4 linked regions of the Danio rerio genome follow. The protein of the gene in region 1 interacts with the protein of each later gene in a pairwise test. Links are inferred from orthologs where the notes say so. Each region holds a gene or a part of one and is shown on either strand. Other genes may lie near its edges.

What was found. The genes of interacting proteins can lie anywhere in the genome.
Region 2: the proteins of siah1 (region 1) and rad51ap1 interact in binary tests that used the Homo sapiens proteins (3 or more experiments, as listed by UniProt). The two-hybrid records come from large-scale screens. The link is inferred for Danio rerio from reciprocal best matches to the Homo sapiens genes SIAH1 and RAD51AP1.
Region 3: the proteins of siah1 (region 1) and ube2kb interact in binary tests that used the Homo sapiens proteins (3 or more experiments, as listed by UniProt). The link is inferred for Danio rerio from reciprocal best matches to the Homo sapiens genes SIAH1 and UBE2K.
Region 4: the proteins of siah1 (region 1) and inha interact in binary tests that used the Homo sapiens proteins (3 or more experiments, as listed by UniProt). The two-hybrid records come from large-scale screens. The link is inferred for Danio rerio from reciprocal best matches to the Homo sapiens genes SIAH1 and INHA.

Annotation. Positions count from the first base shown.
Region 1 is NC_133193.1:19,824,808-19,828,965, reverse strand, and holds the start of siah1 (E3 ubiquitin-protein ligase Siah1), read right to left. Parts: upstream 2,801-4,158; 5' UTR 2,635-2,800; intron 1-2,634. UniProt on the Homo sapiens protein: E3 ubiquitin-protein ligase that mediates ubiquitination and subsequent proteasomal degradation of target proteins.
Region 2 is NC_133179.1:5,640,188-5,644,436, forward strand, and holds the start of rad51ap1 (RAD51-associated protein 1), read right to left. Parts: upstream 2,809-4,249; 5' UTR 2,465-2,808; exon of another isoform or gene 2,408-2,464; intron 587-2,407; 5' UTR 410-586; intron 326-409; 5' UTR 225-325; coding exon 172-224; intron 1-171. UniProt on the Homo sapiens protein: Structure-specific DNA-binding protein involved in DNA repair by promoting RAD51-mediated homologous recombination.
Region 3 is NC_133176.1:24,896,115-24,900,399, forward strand, and holds the start of ube2kb (ubiquitin-conjugating enzyme E2Kb (UBC1 homolog, yeast)), read left to right. Parts: upstream 1-1,477; 5' UTR 1,478-1,930; coding exon 1,931-1,993; intron 1,994-2,645; coding exon 2,646-2,739; intron 2,740-2,835; coding exon 2,836-2,894; intron 2,895-4,285. UniProt on the Homo sapiens protein: Accepts ubiquitin from the E1 complex and catalyzes its covalent attachment to other proteins. In vitro, in the presence or in the absence of BRCA1-BARD1 E3 ubiquitin-protein ligase complex, catalyzes the synthesis of 'Lys-48'-linked polyubiquitin chains.
Region 4 is NC_133181.1:19,535,324-19,539,472, forward strand, and holds the start of inha (inhibin alpha chain precursor), read right to left. Parts: upstream 2,809-4,149; coding exon 2,499-2,808; intron 1-2,498. UniProt on the Homo sapiens protein: Inhibins and activins inhibit and activate, respectively, the secretion of follitropin by the pituitary gland.

The DNA.
Region 1 (4,158 bases):
AACATTTCAAACATTTGGTAGAGATTGATATTTCAGAATTTATAGGATGTGTTGAAAAAAAAAATACATTGAGTGTGTTAATTATGACATTACGAGTTGAGAAATGTAATCCAAATATTTTTTTTCTTGGTGGGATAGGTAAAGGGTTGAAGAATCAACTTGACATGGTTTTAAGAAAGACATAAGAAATAGTTTAAAATCCTAGCAACAAATTGACATTTTTAACTAAAAACCATCTATTCAAAAATGTTTAGTTTTTTTGTTTATAAGGAATATATCCCCAGATATACAGCTGCAGGATATTGGAAAAAATGTACATTGCGATATTTACATTTTCTGCACTTTATATTGCCATTTATCTCAAGATAGCTTAATTAATAATTTTAGACACATTGGGATGGTTTTGTTGAGGAGTGCATAAAATATAATCAACAAATTACAACTGCAAATGACTATTGCGTATTCACACATTAATGCTGAAACAATATATTGTGCAGCCCTACCCAGATCATTTAATTATTACAAATTTTACTACAACTACTGCTATTGTTAGTAATATATATATATATATATATATATATATATATATATATATATATATATATATATATATATATAATAGTTAAAGACATATTTAAGTCATTCTGTGCTTGTAAGCATAAAAAGATCCCGCCAGAGAGCCTACATTTGTATATGAAGAGCTTATAAACAATAATAACAAAAAACGTTGTGAAGAATGCTTCCAAACATAATATGTATACAGTTCATTCTCCTCACACCTCACAAATGAAGGTGAAGGATTGCATTACCAAGCACCTGGACAAGGATGAAACCAAAAAAAAAAAAAATGTGTTTAACCTCATGACATTTCTAACATTCAGCAGTTCTTTTTAAAAATAAGCTTTTCTAAAAACCTGGATTTATTTTGAACAATTTCATGCAAATGTTAACCTTGCCATTAAAAATGAATTATGTTTTCACCAAAGTAGTGAACCCCTTTCTATGTTTGTGTAGGCCTGTATTTTACTGCATAGTAAAAAACACATTAAAAATCTTTCTGTCAATGTTTTTCAACAATTATATTTGATTAACCAAAGTCACACAAGTGCTAATTTCACATCCATCACATCCATAATTGAGAAATGTCATATTCATAACGAAGCTCTTTCTTCATAAATGCAAAAATGTAAAATAAAATCAATAATTTTTGTTCTACATTAAGCCAACTCTTCTCCTTGTGATTAGCATTGTTTCTTTGGGGTTGTGCCGTTTCATTCACAGAATTTCTATAAAGAATGTTGTATACTGTAAACTTGCAGACTTCTTTAGTCAGATCCAAAACGTATGTTTATTTAGCTCATTTAAATTTTTTTTTAATTACAGATTGATATTTTTTGCTCCCATATCTCAGTGGTGAGCTGTTTTGGAAAATATAAACAGATGTTTCGATATAATGTTAACATATACTTTCTATGTAAATTTAAGTTTTAAGATATTACTGCAAAAGTCACATCCACGAAATTGCATCATTTATGCATCAAAACATCTTCACAACAAGATTACCTTTAGTACAACAGGGTTAGTTACAGAAGGGATTTGACCCTATCCTATCTAGCTATTGCTTCAACCACCTGCAACTTAACCTCGTTTACTGTAATTGATAGGGGAGGTGCTAAAACGGATCCTTAAGGATAAAGAACAACAAAAACAGTACCGTCTAATTGAGTCGCAACAACGATGTAAGCATAGGATCTCCATGGCGAATTGCAGCCGCTTTGTAAACAAATCGGAGTGGTGATCGAGCAGCCAAGTTCAAGGCGTCTGCGAGCACGAAAGCTTAAAATAAATCCCATGTGTAGCATTCACGACATTAAGCTCCTTTAGGTGTCACATGCACAAGCACATCTGATGATTTTACTGTAACATGCTCGATCTGATCGTGTCGACCCTACACACAGTGTCGGCTGATGGTTAGCCTTAACGTTATGCATGTTTTTCTTTTGGGCTGACTTCTAAATCAACACCACCATATGTTATATTGACCATAACCAGTGATAAAATGTTTTCTGTAGCACATGTTGGTATCGGTCTCTGTGTTCAAGTTAACTTTTATAATGTGAGGCTGCTTTTGCACCGCAAACTAATACAGTTTCTGTCAGTCAAGCCATCTCTGTATGGCTAGAAACAGTCAAAAATGATCCGTTGACAATAAACGAGGTCTTAATCTTAGGACTGAAATATAAACAGAAATAACACGTCTGCACACATACGCTAATTACGATTGGAAAACACTGCACTGGTTGCATTACATTTGATTTCGTCACATAAACAGTGTTTCTCACTTAGCACAAGCATATAAAGCTAGCAAAGGCAGGCTAATAATGGCTACATGGACCATATATCGGCGTTTAAAATATTTAAAAAGCATTTTGTTACTGGATAAGAACCACACAGCGAATCACATTGTGTTAAAGAAAAAAATGAACTCACAAGATGTGTTTTGCTGAGGAATGCAGTAAAATTGTTGATAGCATGGTCGGCTAGCCGCTTTTTAAGCTAGCTAGCTCGCTAAGCCTAGTAAAATCAACAACAGATCCATTATCCTCGAGTGGAGGATTTAAACATTGCACTTACCTCCAGAAAATATCCCTCTGCTGCCAAACGAATTAATTGTAAAAAATAATTCACCACACGTCGGGCAGCGTTAGGTTATATGTCCGTTAATCGTTTGGTTGTTTGTGTTTCCACATTCGCTAAAAAGAGACGCTGCTGTCGCCCGGCAGTCTCGGTGTCGCGCACTGACTGAAGCTGTTGAAATATATTTTCACGGGAACGGCGCTGCAAGGATACGCGAACGCGCTTCAGACACATGAACGCGGGAAGGAGAACAACGTTGGGCCAACAACACACAGATGGAAGAAGTACTGTCCTCAGATTAGGAGTTATAAGAATATAATATTTTATTTAGACAAATTAGCACTTTGGTATAAAACAAAAATTGAATAAAACTGGATAAAAATAAACTACATATCATAGGATTTTAAAACAATAAATAAAAAACTGAAATATGATTTTAACAAGTGATCTAAATTTAATAAAACAATTAATTAACAGTAGATTAAAAAAACAAATGCAAGTTGTAGCTTAAAACAAATGATAAAAAATATAGAAAAAGTAAAAATGCAATAAATAAATGTTATTACATTATTGAAAATGTAATAAAGTTGCTCAATATAAATTTACAACGTTCCAAGATTTTTCCCATATAAATTGGGTATTTATATATTATATTTCTACATAAAGTATTATTAACATTTGATTATTGCAAGGCATCACGATGGCACGATCACCTCACAGCAAGAAGGTTGCTGTTTCGAGTATAGGCTGGGTCAGTTGGCATTTCTGTGTTGAGTTTGTATGTTCTCCCCATGATCGAGTGGGTTTACTACGGGTGCTCCAGTTTCCCCACAAGTCCAAAGACATGCGGTATAGGTGAATTGGGAAAACTGGATAAGTTGGCAGTTAATTCCGCTGTGGTGGTGACCCCAGATTAATAAAGGGAATAAGCTGAAAACAAGATGAATGAATGATTATTGGAAACACTATTTAGATAATAAAAAAAAAATTAAATTTGTATCTCACCAACACTGACTCATGTGTTAATAAAAAGAAAACAAATAATAATAATAATACATTTGTTACTGTTGTGTTAATCAGCTTTTAAAGATAGTCATTTTTCTATAAAATGGTTGTACTATTAGCTCAATGATTGGATCTCAAACACCGAAGTCGAATATGATTAAAAGACATGATTCAATAAGGCAGCTGTAGTTCGACAATGCTGAAAGATCTGATGCAGCTGGTTCAGTTTTTAATATTTTCTTGAATATGTGTTCTTGAAAAAAGCAAAAGTGGATGTTTTAGTTATGTAACCTGAAAAGTGGAGGTTGCATAGAGAGGAAACTATCTAACTTGAGCAGCCAGTAGGTGGGGGAAATGAACTGGATTCATATGGATTGTGTAATGCTAGTATAAACCCACCTTAGCACTTGCGTTATAAGGGTGTGTCTGTGATTAAAAGGCGGTCTGTTATGCAAAAATCACTTTTTATGTGTTTGTTGCTGACCCTCTTTTGAAAAGGGAACCATCTCATTTGAA
Region 2 (4,249 bases), on another chromosome or scaffold:
ACAGTTAAGTGGAACTGCAGCAGAACAAAACATTGTGGGCACGTGGCTTTGTTTGGGTGTCTAAACTGTGGAAACTAAATAAAACTGCAGGGTTTTATATAGAAGTGGCCTTTTCCTGTCTATGGACACAGCAGCTGTTTGAGTGTACAAACATATTGGACAATAACATACCTGAAGCTGCTGCTGCAGAGCTTTGATGATGAGCACATTGGCAGCTTCAGCATGAACACATGTGCATGTAAGAAATGTGATTTGTCTGAGCAGATATTTTAGGATCGTCTGGAGGAGTTGAAGAATGTGTGGCCACAAACTAGTCTATCGTCTGCTTGGATTGCAGGACGTCAGTCAGTGCTTTTGAGTCGTCCAGGTCCCCTGCGTGACCAACTCAACCAAATTGCCGCCCACTTACCGGCAGGAAAATGACAAGCCTTAGAAGATCACTAAGTTTCCCTCGCCGGAGAAAATGAGGGACCAAAGATGGTGAATGTTTCCTGTTGGAGTGGGCGGCAGAGAAGACGTGTCCCATTCTCCTACCCATCAGCAGGTTGGCACATCTGTCCTCCAGAGGTCAGTAGCACAGCGCCATCTATTGGATGAGGAGACACAATTCAATTAGCCTAAAATCATAGGATCTGACGATCAATATAAATACAATCTTCAAATGCCCATTTTTATGATGGACATTTGATATTTTACCTTCTGATCACTAATAGGTTTACACATACATACCATCGCATAATCGATATAATCCAATAAAATATGAAATTGAAAATAGTATACCCTAATATGCATTACGTCACTTTCCATTAGACTGGCTCCTTCGTTGTCTTTGTTTATTTTCCCCACACAAAGAAATACTTAGGAATAACTTTAAAGTCTTAATTCATGAGAAATCTCTTTTTATTGATAGGTGGTTTGTTTTTGTTTTGGACTAATTAAAAAAATTATGGCAATATTCTGGAATATGAGGAGTTTATGAGTTTATGGTATAATTTCCGTCTGCCAGCCACAACCTTCAATTGTGTTATATATAGTTTTGTCACCAAGTTCATTCACACATTTATTTTATTTTCGGCTTATTGTCTTTATTAATCCGGGGTCCCCACAGCGGAATGAACCGCCAACTTATCCAGCACGTCTTTACCTATATTTTACAGTCTATGGTCTTTACGCAGCAAATACCCTTCCAGCTGCAACCCATCTCTGGAAAACAATCACACACAATCATTCACACTCATACACTACTGACAATTTAGCTCACCCAATTCACCTGTACCACGCCTTTGGACTGTGGGTGATACCGGAGCACCCGGAGGAATATGCGAACGCAGGGAAAACATGCAAACTCCACACAGAAATGCCAACTGACCCAGCCGAGGCTCGAACCAGCGACCTTCTTGGCTGTGAGGCGACAGCACTACCTACTGCGCCGCCATGTCAAGTTATGTGAATTTATTTCAAATGTTTCTTTACTTCAATGAGGGGAAAACAATTACACCTAAACTTTTTTTTTTTGGATGGAGATTCTTTTTTTGATTAAAAAAAATGTGACAACCGACATGTCAGACGATTGTTACATTACTCTATACCTCCCAAAGATGTACATATTTCTGGGCCAATTCCTCTGACAGCATTCAATGGAAGAGAGCATGGTTATTACCTAAAAAATTCAGCATGTCCAACAAAGAGAGATACATTTTAAGATTTTCATATGTATATCCTACAAATTCCCAAATTGCTATTTATTTTGAACTATCTAATTTGTGTACTTTCTGTAATAAACATGAAGAGACTTTATTTCACTTATTCTATAGTTGCACTCAATCACTCACGTCTTTGGAATAAGATTTTTTATTTATCGTCCTTATTTAAATATGATTTAAATTTGTCTATAAAAGATATATTTCTGTATCTCTCAGGCAATGATCATGCTCTCCATCTTCTTGTTATTATTATTTGTTCCACTCTTAATATTTTTCACACAAAAATAAGTTTCTAAAGGCAGTCCCTAGATTTAATACTTTTACTTGCAGAAACTGAATCTCTTATTATTAATAATAAGAAAAATAAGTTTCCTAAAGCTTATGATAATCTTTTTTTTCTTAAAAATTGAGGCTTTGTAAAGTTTGTATTGTTTTCTGTTTGTTTGTTTTTTTGTTATTATTTTTTTCTTCAATGCAGTGATGTTATTATTCTTATATTCAATAATAATAACATCAAAAACGTTGTCTTTGTTCATATCCCATCTCAAAACCTCTCAAAATCTTTTCCCTTAACCTTTGGCACTTGATTTTATGTTTGTTTTAAATAGTGTGCATAGTGTGTACGTATATCTGACTCGTTAACTCGTTAGACTGTAACGTTACTGCACTTTGGTGGTTAAGTGCTTTATAAATAAAGTTTGAATGAAAGAATGAATGAACGTCAACCAAAAAATATAAAACGCAGACATTATTTAACTTACCTTGGTGTTTTTCAAGACAAGTCATGTCCTTCTGTACTCTGTGGAAAAAAAACAGCAGACAAAGCACACTATCTAGGCTAAGTTAACGTTACATGTTTGAAAATTCAGTTAAAACGTCGTGCTCGCTCTCGTCCATGACTATAGTTTTGATAAAACGTTTTAAAGGATGGTCATACACGACACAATCCATTAATTTCAAGTGTTCTGAGCGTATATGGTAAAAAATAAAACGCAATTTGATGTATTATTAGCGAAAATTCTGAACTCATCGACCGTTAATTTGCCATGCGCGTTCACGCACTCCGACCGCTGACGTGATTACTTTTTCAGCAAACGAAGTGTGTATTTACGTCACATGTTGTTTTTTATGACGTATTGTTTTTAACCTTCAATTTCTGAGCGAGTCGGAGAGAATTGCTACGCTAATATTATGGTGAACAACAGCAGAACATCAATTTAATGGCCAAGGTAAGGACTTTTGATTCAATATTTTGTTTTTTTGTTTCAATTAGGCCTACTTTAGGCTAATATAATTTTATATCACAGACATGTAAACACATTGGTAAACACTGAACATTCTTAAATCTAGATAAATATAGTAAAGAAGCAAAATAACTAAATTATACATGAATAGTTTTTGCTTTTAAAAGTGCTAGTAGTCTATGAACAATGCTGTTGTTTATCTTAAGTGATTGTAAGCTCACATTAAAATCACTGCTTTAGCTTCACTTTTAAAAACAATAATTAACAAAAGAAGAAATTAAAATGATTAATTTAACTGTGAGAAATATGCTACGCCATTTCCCTGACTTGACTGTCCATTTTTTTTTTATTTCAAGCATACTTTGATTCATTTCAATACACTTTTCAATACATTCAAATATTTTCTCTGCACACAAAGTATACATTTCCAAGGGAAAATACTTACTACTAACTTACAAATCCAAAAACAAATCAAACTTCCTTGATTTCAAGTTTCAGCATTTCTTTTATTGCATGAAAACGAATACGTGTACACATTACGTGTGAATATAGAGGCCAAAACTGCGGTGGTGCAACTTTAAAGTGCTTAAATAATGGACGACATCAAAAAAGACATCTTATGAGTGTTTACGTTCAGCCAGCTCACAAAACTGCATTTAAATAATACTCATGATAAAATCAAACACACAGACTTGTAATGTGCTTCAGTTGCTGGGTTTGCAATACAAACTGTCAAATCAAGCAGTCTTAGTGAGCCCTGTCAGTCAGAGTTTTTGACTTCCTCCAGGTGGTCTTTTCTGTTGATAAAGACCCCCTGTATGCGTGTGGCCCGCAGGACACTCTCTTCCCTATGGATGGTGAAGATGAACCTGCTGATGCCAGTGTTTGGACATGGAGAAAACACCTGGTTCATCTTAAGACCTGCGGGCAGACAGCACTGCAGATCCTCCACCAGATGACGCACAGATACGCGGATAAACGCCCCGTGACTGACCATCAGAGCGTGGACGGGTACGTTCTGTGCTCCATCGTCTGCCAGTCCAGCGATCACAGGCTGATCTGCTTCCGATGGCGCAGAGCTCAACGCAGAGCCGTGCTCCTCTAACATGCGCTGAAACAAGGATTTGAGGAACTTCTTGAAGCGAGTCTTTACCTGGAGAGACAAAAGCAGGATCTTCTGTGTGAGCATTTGGGTGCTGTTAGAAAATAATACTAAAATGACTAAACAAGCAATTTTGTAGGTCAGAAGCTGCTTTTAAATGTTTTCAGGAGAAATCTCACATACGCTCACCAATTTATATC
Region 3 (4,285 bases), on another chromosome or scaffold:
ATTTTAAAACTGTATTTGCTATATATTTAATTGTCTCCCTAATCTTATTCTGTGGCTTTAATATAGAAGGGCAGTTTCAGTCTTAATCTCACCCATTGACAAGATAACACAAATATAAATGCAAAGTACACAACTGTTAAAGATAATATAAAGGTCATCGATAGAGAAAATAACATCAAGTAAAAATCTGCAGTCAATTGGCATCTGAATTGATAGATGTATGAATAATGTGATGGCCAAATGTGGTCACACATACTTTGAAGTTGAATTACATTTTACCCATTCAAGGGAATACATAATCACCACAATGAGAAGTGAACACAAACACACACAGATACGAGATACAAACAACTGTCACACAAAGCTCCAAGAAGACTTTTGTGTACCAAACATCTGTCAGATTATGCCGCATGTTAAAACATTAACATGAAATGAAAAACATTTGTATGTTGATTGGGTTTCTGACTTTAAAGGCTGTAAATGTGTTGTGTTAGATGTCATGTAAAATATATTTTTTTTTTTCATTGTTTAGGTTTTTTTTCACATTTTTATTGGATAGTGGAAGTTGAGACAGGAATGTGTGGGGAGCAATCAGCAAAGAACATCAAGCTTAGACTGATTTAGGTCACCCCAAGCTCTTACTAGCTACTGACACTGAGCATATAAAATATCTCAATTTGTATTCCGAAGTTGAAGGTCCCAGGGAGTTGTAACAACACAAGGATGTTAAAGGTTAGTTCTACCAAAAATTCTGTTAGTAATTACTTATAACAGATTTTTTGGTAGAACTAACCCTTAAGGGCACCTCAGTCTCGGGTACTGAAAGTGGAAGAGAGCTCTGTTCATTCCCTGCCACACTGACAACTGGTATGCAACTTTTCAAGCATGGTTGATTTAACTTAATTTCAAATTGTTTATCAAATGAAAGGTGAAAAACGAAAAAAAGTTCTTATTAATAGATTTATATATATATATATATATATATATATATATATATATATATATATATATATATATATATATATATATATACACACACACACACACACACACACACACACACACACACACACACACACACACACATATATATATATATAGCATACAACACACCAAACAATTGTATTATTTTTAAACACTGTATTATTCACCATAGTGTAAACTTTTTATTTGTTAATTTTAATATATATGCTTTTTGCTGGCTGTATGTGGGCGGAGTAATACACAAAAGGTAAAGAGGCTGTACTGGTGCTGATATTACTTAAATATATCACGGCTATCAGCCAATCAGATTCGAGGACCTGACAGAACTGTTGTATATATATAAAAATAACTCAGATTTAGCATGGTATTATAATGGTGGTGAATACATATTGTATGCTACAAACGATTTATCTTCATGTTCCTGTTAGAATAATCAAAAAGGACCCATGTGATTTAATACTTGGTTTAAATAGTGTAGGCCTAAATTGTTTGCAAATTCAGTGAAAGGGGTGATGATGGACCGTATGCTCTGAACGCATCACGTGGGAGTAAAACAGATGCATCCGAGCTTTAGCAGCACGACATCATGTGACAGCACCACATCATATGGGAGTGAAACTAGATGTGAACGCATTCTGGATCTGTCAAGACTGAGCTCTGCTTTTCTGCTGCATAACACATCCACCTGATTCAACAAAGAAGGACAAACGCAGTGCTGTAGTGCAGTGTTTTAGTGTTCCAGGCTCTTATTTTGTTTACCGGTGCTTTTCTGGTGCTTTCCGTACTGTTTTAGGAGAGAGAGAGGGAGGGAGAGAGAGAGGGCGAAGGAGCGCAAGAGGGGTGTGAAAGTGAAGCTCTATCATTCTTTGCGGACTGGAGGCTCAAAAACAGCGGAAGAGAGAAGGAGAGAGAGAGAAAGAGTGAGAGAGAGAGGAATCAATCAGCCATGGCAAATATCGCTGTGCAGAGGATCAAGCGAGAGTTTAAAGAAGTGCTGAAAAGCGAAGAGGTTTGCAAAACGCTACTTTACTATATTTTCCTGCCCGTTAAGAACAAACAGAAGGACTTTTGGCGATGAACACACAAAACCCAATGAGCTAGCCTAGCATGCTAAGCTAATGTTAGCATGAGCTGTCATATGATGGACTTAAGATACGGAAGTCACACTTCTGACAAATTTGCTTCTCTCGATGTAATAAAACGAAAACATAGACCTAAATGTTTAATTCATTCATGAACATGTCAGAGTATTGTTAAATTTGTGCTGGCACACATCGAGCTTAAGCCATGGAGCTATTTGACATAGTTAGCCGGCTAGCTTCACCAACACTTCTATAGTCTGCAATAACAGCACTCGCACTCAGTGTTTTAAGGTTGGTTTTCTGTTTTGAAATGCCCATTAGTGGTTTACTGATCGTGTTCCTACGTTTTTGTGTGTGTTGGTGTCAGTTAACAGGGCAGCTAGGATGTTCTTTTTTTAAGTAATGCAGCACCTTTGACAGACAGCATTTTTGGGAATCATAGACTCATATCATACTGTCTTTTAAGGGTGCTTATTATGTTCAGAAGACAGCTTCATAACTTGACTATACCGGTTGTTTCTTTGTTCAAGCAACTATGGTACTCCTTACTAAATACATTTTTGTTTTGCTTTTTAACAGACGAGTAAAAATCAAATAAAAGTAGATCTGGTGGATGAAAACTTCACAGAGTTAAAGGGAGAAATAGCAGGACCGCCAGACACACCATATGAAGGTAATGAGAGCCTTTACATGATGTTTCTTTAATGTTTGCTTGGAGATTAATGCTGGAGATAAGATTATAACAGGCTAACGTTTTTTTTTCTCACAGGGGGAAGATATCAACTAGAAATCAAGATCCCTGAGACGTATCCATTTAATCCACCCAAGGTAATTCAACAAGTATTCTTTCTGCTGTTTTTACATATAATATTGCCAAAATATTTTACATAGACATACTATTAAGAAAAAGGAATGTTATTAATATAAAAATAAGTAGATAATAGTGTAACATGGAATTAAAATAACACGATGAATGAATGAAAGGGGATACAAATGTTATTTATCCAAAATAAATATAAAAATATATTTTTTTATTTTGCGATATATATATATATATATATATATATATATATATATATATATATATTGCAATATGAATACAATTTTATCAATGACTTAATAACTCAATTTTTAATCTTAGATCAACTGGAATGACTCTGCAGTGGGAGTGCATCTCTATAAAATCTAAAATTAATAAATAAATAAACAATTGTTGTGATCTTTGCTATTTGCAGTGCATTTCTGTATTTGCATATGTTGTGAGTATTTTCATACATGACAATCTGTAAATGCAGTCAAGACAAAGATGTTATTCAAATAAAGGGGTTTGTTGTTTCCCAGGTCTAACAGTATTTAAGTACAGTAACTGAATGATAAAAATAAAAACCATTCAATAAGGTCACAAATAGTTCAAGTTCTTATACCCAAATGCTTTTAAAAACATTAAACAATCACAGGCGTCAAAAACATATGCACATGATGAACTATAATACAAACTCATCATTGCCTATCATGCGATGTGACTATTGCAAATGATCACATTGCGAAATCGATGCTAAAGCGATATATTGTGCAGCCCTATTATGAAGTTAAAAGTTCCATAACATTTGCATCTGGATGATCTTTGTTTATATTCATTAAGGCAGTAGTGGGTTAGTAATGTTCAGTAATCGACTGTACTGCTGTAATTTAGTTGTCTGGATTTGATTAGCATGCAAAGCCTTTTAAAGACATCGGGTTAAAGAGTTTAAGTATTTCACTTAAGTTCAATATTGATTCACATTTAGAATTAAGAGAGAAAGCTAAAAGTAATACTTTGTGAACTAACCAAACTAGACATGAGAAGAAGGATCACATGAACAACTGTTAAAGTGTTCAAGTAAATCTCTCTTCTCTTTGTCTTTAAGTCTAGAGGGGTCATTGCTAGTTTGGAGGAAAAAAAATAAAATAAAAAAAAAAAAGATCCAGATTTTATATTATTGACATTGATTATTTTTTTCCTTTGCGCCAGGCTATGATTAGTCAGAGGATATCAGACATGTTTGAAATTTTAAACAGATTTTAGAACATATACATTATCATTTGTCTTCAAGTAATGATATGAATGTTTCGTCTGCTGTTTATTATGTTCCAAATAAAATGAAAGTTTATTAACGTGTAATTCTCAGTCGTTTGATCTGCAATGCCCCAACAATTGATTAATAAACCAGTAAGTAACA
Region 4 (4,149 bases), on another chromosome or scaffold:
CTTTTCTTGGTCTGCGCACACCTGCTCTGCTCCTCCTTTAAATATCTTCTCTGCCTCTTTGAGGCCTACTTGCTCTCTTTGTCTCTCCCTTTCTTTGTCTCTCCTTTTACCTCTGGTAACTTTAATTTTACATTTAAGCTAGGTACGATTATTATCATATGTTTTTATCGGTTCGTATTTTATAATTTTACAGTTATTTGTAATTAATTCAGTTGTAACCACTACTTTTGATATAACATCAACACTTAGTTGCTCCATATTGCAATAAAACACAATCACATAATATCAACACACTCCCACATTTTTAGCTATTAATACTGCCCTTATTTCAGTTTTTTTTTTTTTTTTTTTTTTTTGTATGAGATTGCAGAAGATTGGTTTGACTAGAAATATACAGTTTTTTTACCATGCTGATAACTTTAGTCACTCGGCAAAACTAAAGTTTAAACCGCTGTGGTTAAACCCACTCTTACATTAAAACCCCATTTTGATGATGACATCATGTAAACTTCTACAAAGTATTTTACAGTATTTTAAAATACAAAAACACAAGACATTAAAAAATAAAGACATTTTCATAAACCCTATAAAATACAAATGACAAAATACTATTTTGTATGTAAAATACGTACTTTACATGTATTATAATTATCATATATGTGCTATACCTGCTGGCACATATGTGGGAATGATGGGTGGGGAGAACCAGCTCATTTGCATTAAAGGCACAAGCAACAAAGCAAAACAGCCACAGTGTACTCAGACCATAAACTGCCCATATTCAAAAAGATACAATAAATAATCTGATTGATAGTGTAAGCTGTAACTTTAAACACATTCTGGAGAAACCGAAGACCTTTCTTAAATCTTAAAAAGGGGTAAAATAGTAGCCCTTTAACATCTTTATTATCTTTATCTTTATTTCCTTGTTTTTATTTCTTTTTTCCCCAGTTAATTTTTTTTATGTTTACATATCTGAAGATCATTTTTGTGGGTAAATAAATAGGTATAATTACGTATAATTATACTTTTTTTGTAATGTCACAATACATGACATTTTACAAACTTATTTTTTTTTTAAAGTTAAGAGAGACTGAACAAGATAACAGATAATGCCGGGTTTTCACTTTGCCCTTTATATTTGTGTTGCTTCACACCACATGACTTTATTTACTTACTTATTTACTTACTTACTTACCTACTTACTTACTTTAGATGCACCATTTTAATTACGTCAACCACTAGCCATTAGAGTGACAAATAATATCTGCTTGATGTATGCTAACACTTTTTTCAAAGCCCCAAAATAACAATCTACTGCATGCAATTTTCAATTTATTTTACTAACCCTCAACCTAACCTAACAGCCTGGTTGAAATGCAGTTGTAAAGTTATATACAGTTGAAGTCAAAATTATTAGCCCCTCTGAATTATTAGCCCCGTTGTTTATTTTTTCCCCTAGTTTCTGTTTAACAGAGAGAGGATTTTCTTAATACATTTCTAAACATCATAGTTTAATAACTAATTTCTAATAACTGATTTATTTTATATTTGCCATGATGACAGTGAATAATATTTGACGAGCTATTTTTCAAGACACTTCTATACACTTTAAAGTGATATTTAAAGGCTTAACTATGTTAATTAGGTTAACTAGGCAGGTTAGAGTAATTAGGCAAGGTATTGTATAATGTTGGTGTTGTAGTTCTGTAGAAGAAAAAAAATTGCTTAGGGGCTAATAATTTTAACCTTAAAAATGGCTTTAAAAAAATTAAAAGCTGCTTTTATTCAAGTCAAAATAAAACAAATAAGACTTTCTCCAGAAGAAAAAGTATTATCAGACATACTGTGAAAATTTCCTTGTTCTGTTAAACATCACTTGGGAAATATTTAAAAAAGAAAAAAAAAATTCAAAGGGGGCTAATAATTCTGACTTCAACTGTATATACTGAACTGAAGTATATGTTACTTCATATATATATAAGTATACGTTACTTTTGGCCAGCGGAGAAATTAAAATGGTCGTGCCCAACTGAGTCTGGTTCTCTCAAGGTTTTTTTTCTTCACTCCCATCAGGTGAAGTTTTTTTTTCCCTCTCCGCTGTTGCCACTGCCTCGCAAGGTTCAGGATTGGTAGAGCTACGCATCGATGAATTGGCTCTTCAGTGTTTGAACTCTCAGTAATGATTAAATCACACTGAACTGAGCTAAACTGAACTGAACTGAACTTAAACACTAAAACCTGAACCACACTGTTCCAGTTACTGAACCACACTGTTCCAGTTACTATGACCATTTATGTGAAGCTGCTTTGACACAATCTACATTGTAAAAGCGCTATACAAATAAAGCTGAATTGAATTGAATTGAATTGAATTGTTAAATTATTATAGTGAGCAGATCCATAGGAGTAGAGGATTTTTACCAACTATGATCTTGCCAAATCTTTTACACACTCTTCATTTTCATATGCTATCATTAGAGTTAAAAGAAGCTGACCTGAGCTTGGGAACAGAATGACCTGAGAGGACTCCTGATGGTGTCTTCTTTCCACTCTTGTTTCTCTAGTCATTCGTGATGCTACATGGTGCACAGCTCTGTTCCCTGCCTGTCGTGTTGGCAGCTGCAACACTGGCAGAGGAGGCTCATCCAACCCCAAACCTTCAAGGATCCTTCTTTTCAGCCAGCCAAGCACCATGTCACACGGTAATTCATCTCCTTGACAGGCCTGAACCGATGGAGGAGAAAACAAAGCCCACAGCATCAGGGCACAAGCAAATGAAGACAAAGAGCTTGTCCCAGTTAGCATCCTCAAAACTCAACAGAGGTTAAAAGCAGACACTGGAAATTACAAGCGCATAAACGAAAATCGATGTGTATAGAAAGTTTTTAAATATACATATACTGTAAGTTCATAAAGATTTTTTTTTTCTTGAAATTTTTCTGTTAAAAAAAGAGCTCTACAGTAATCCTTCTTCTTGCAGGTCCATGTCATAGTAAAAGAAGTCTGTGATTTTCTATCTTTTCGTTCTTTTTTTTTTTTTTTTTTTGCAAGCAAATAGCAATCATTGTTTGGGTTCCTGCTATCACAGAATGGATGGGACAAAACGACTTTTGAGATTACAGTTCTTTCCCTGTTGCTTGGCCTTGGACGGAATTGACACAGTATAACAAGAGAATTTTGAAAAAGATTTTTTTTTTCCTAGCAGAAAAAGTACATTTACAAATTTGTATCATGCTTTTATTCTCACTGCTTGGAATTCTTAAAGAATGTTAACCCTAAAACTCTAACTGAAAACTCTGTCATCATTTACTCACCCTACAATTGTTCCAAGCCTATTTACTGGTAAATAAAGATTGGAAACTACTTGATGAAAAGGAAATAGTGAGTATATTGACATCTCTTAGTGAACTATCCCTTAAACTCATTCATTAATACATTTTCTTTACGGCTTAGTCCTTTTAATAATCCAGGGTCGCCACAGCGGAATGAAACCGCCAACTTATCCAGCATATGTTTTACACAGCGGATACCCTTCCAGCTGCAACGCATCACCGAAAAACACCCATACACTCTCATTCACACAAACACTACAGACAATTTAGCTTACCCAATTCAGCTAAACTGCATGTCTTTGGACTGTGGGGAAAATCGGTGCACCTATAGGAAACCCACGCAAACATGGGGAGAACATGCAAACTCCATACAGAAATGCCAACTGACCCAGTCGAGGCTCGAACCAGCGGCCTTCTTGCTGTGAGGCAACAGGGCTACCCAGTGCACCTCTGCGCTGCTCCTCCCTTTAACTCAGGATACCCAAATTAAAAACAGAGCATTAAAACATCAATCACGTGAATGTAAATTAAACATGACATCTCCTTTACATTTCCCAGAGATGGGTTGCGGCTAGAAGGCCATCCGCTGCGTAAAAACTTGCTGGATAAGTTGGCGGTTCATTCCACTGTGGCGACCCCGGATTAAGGGACAAAGCCGACAAGAAAATGAATGAATCTCCTTTACAACTTAAAAGTAACTCAAGTGCAAATTACTTTTTTTTTTTTTTTTTGGTAATCTGTTCTCCCAAACCACATGCAAAATAGACTTTTTATATTTAAAAGAACGCTCTACTCTTTTCTTTTTTACCTTTAC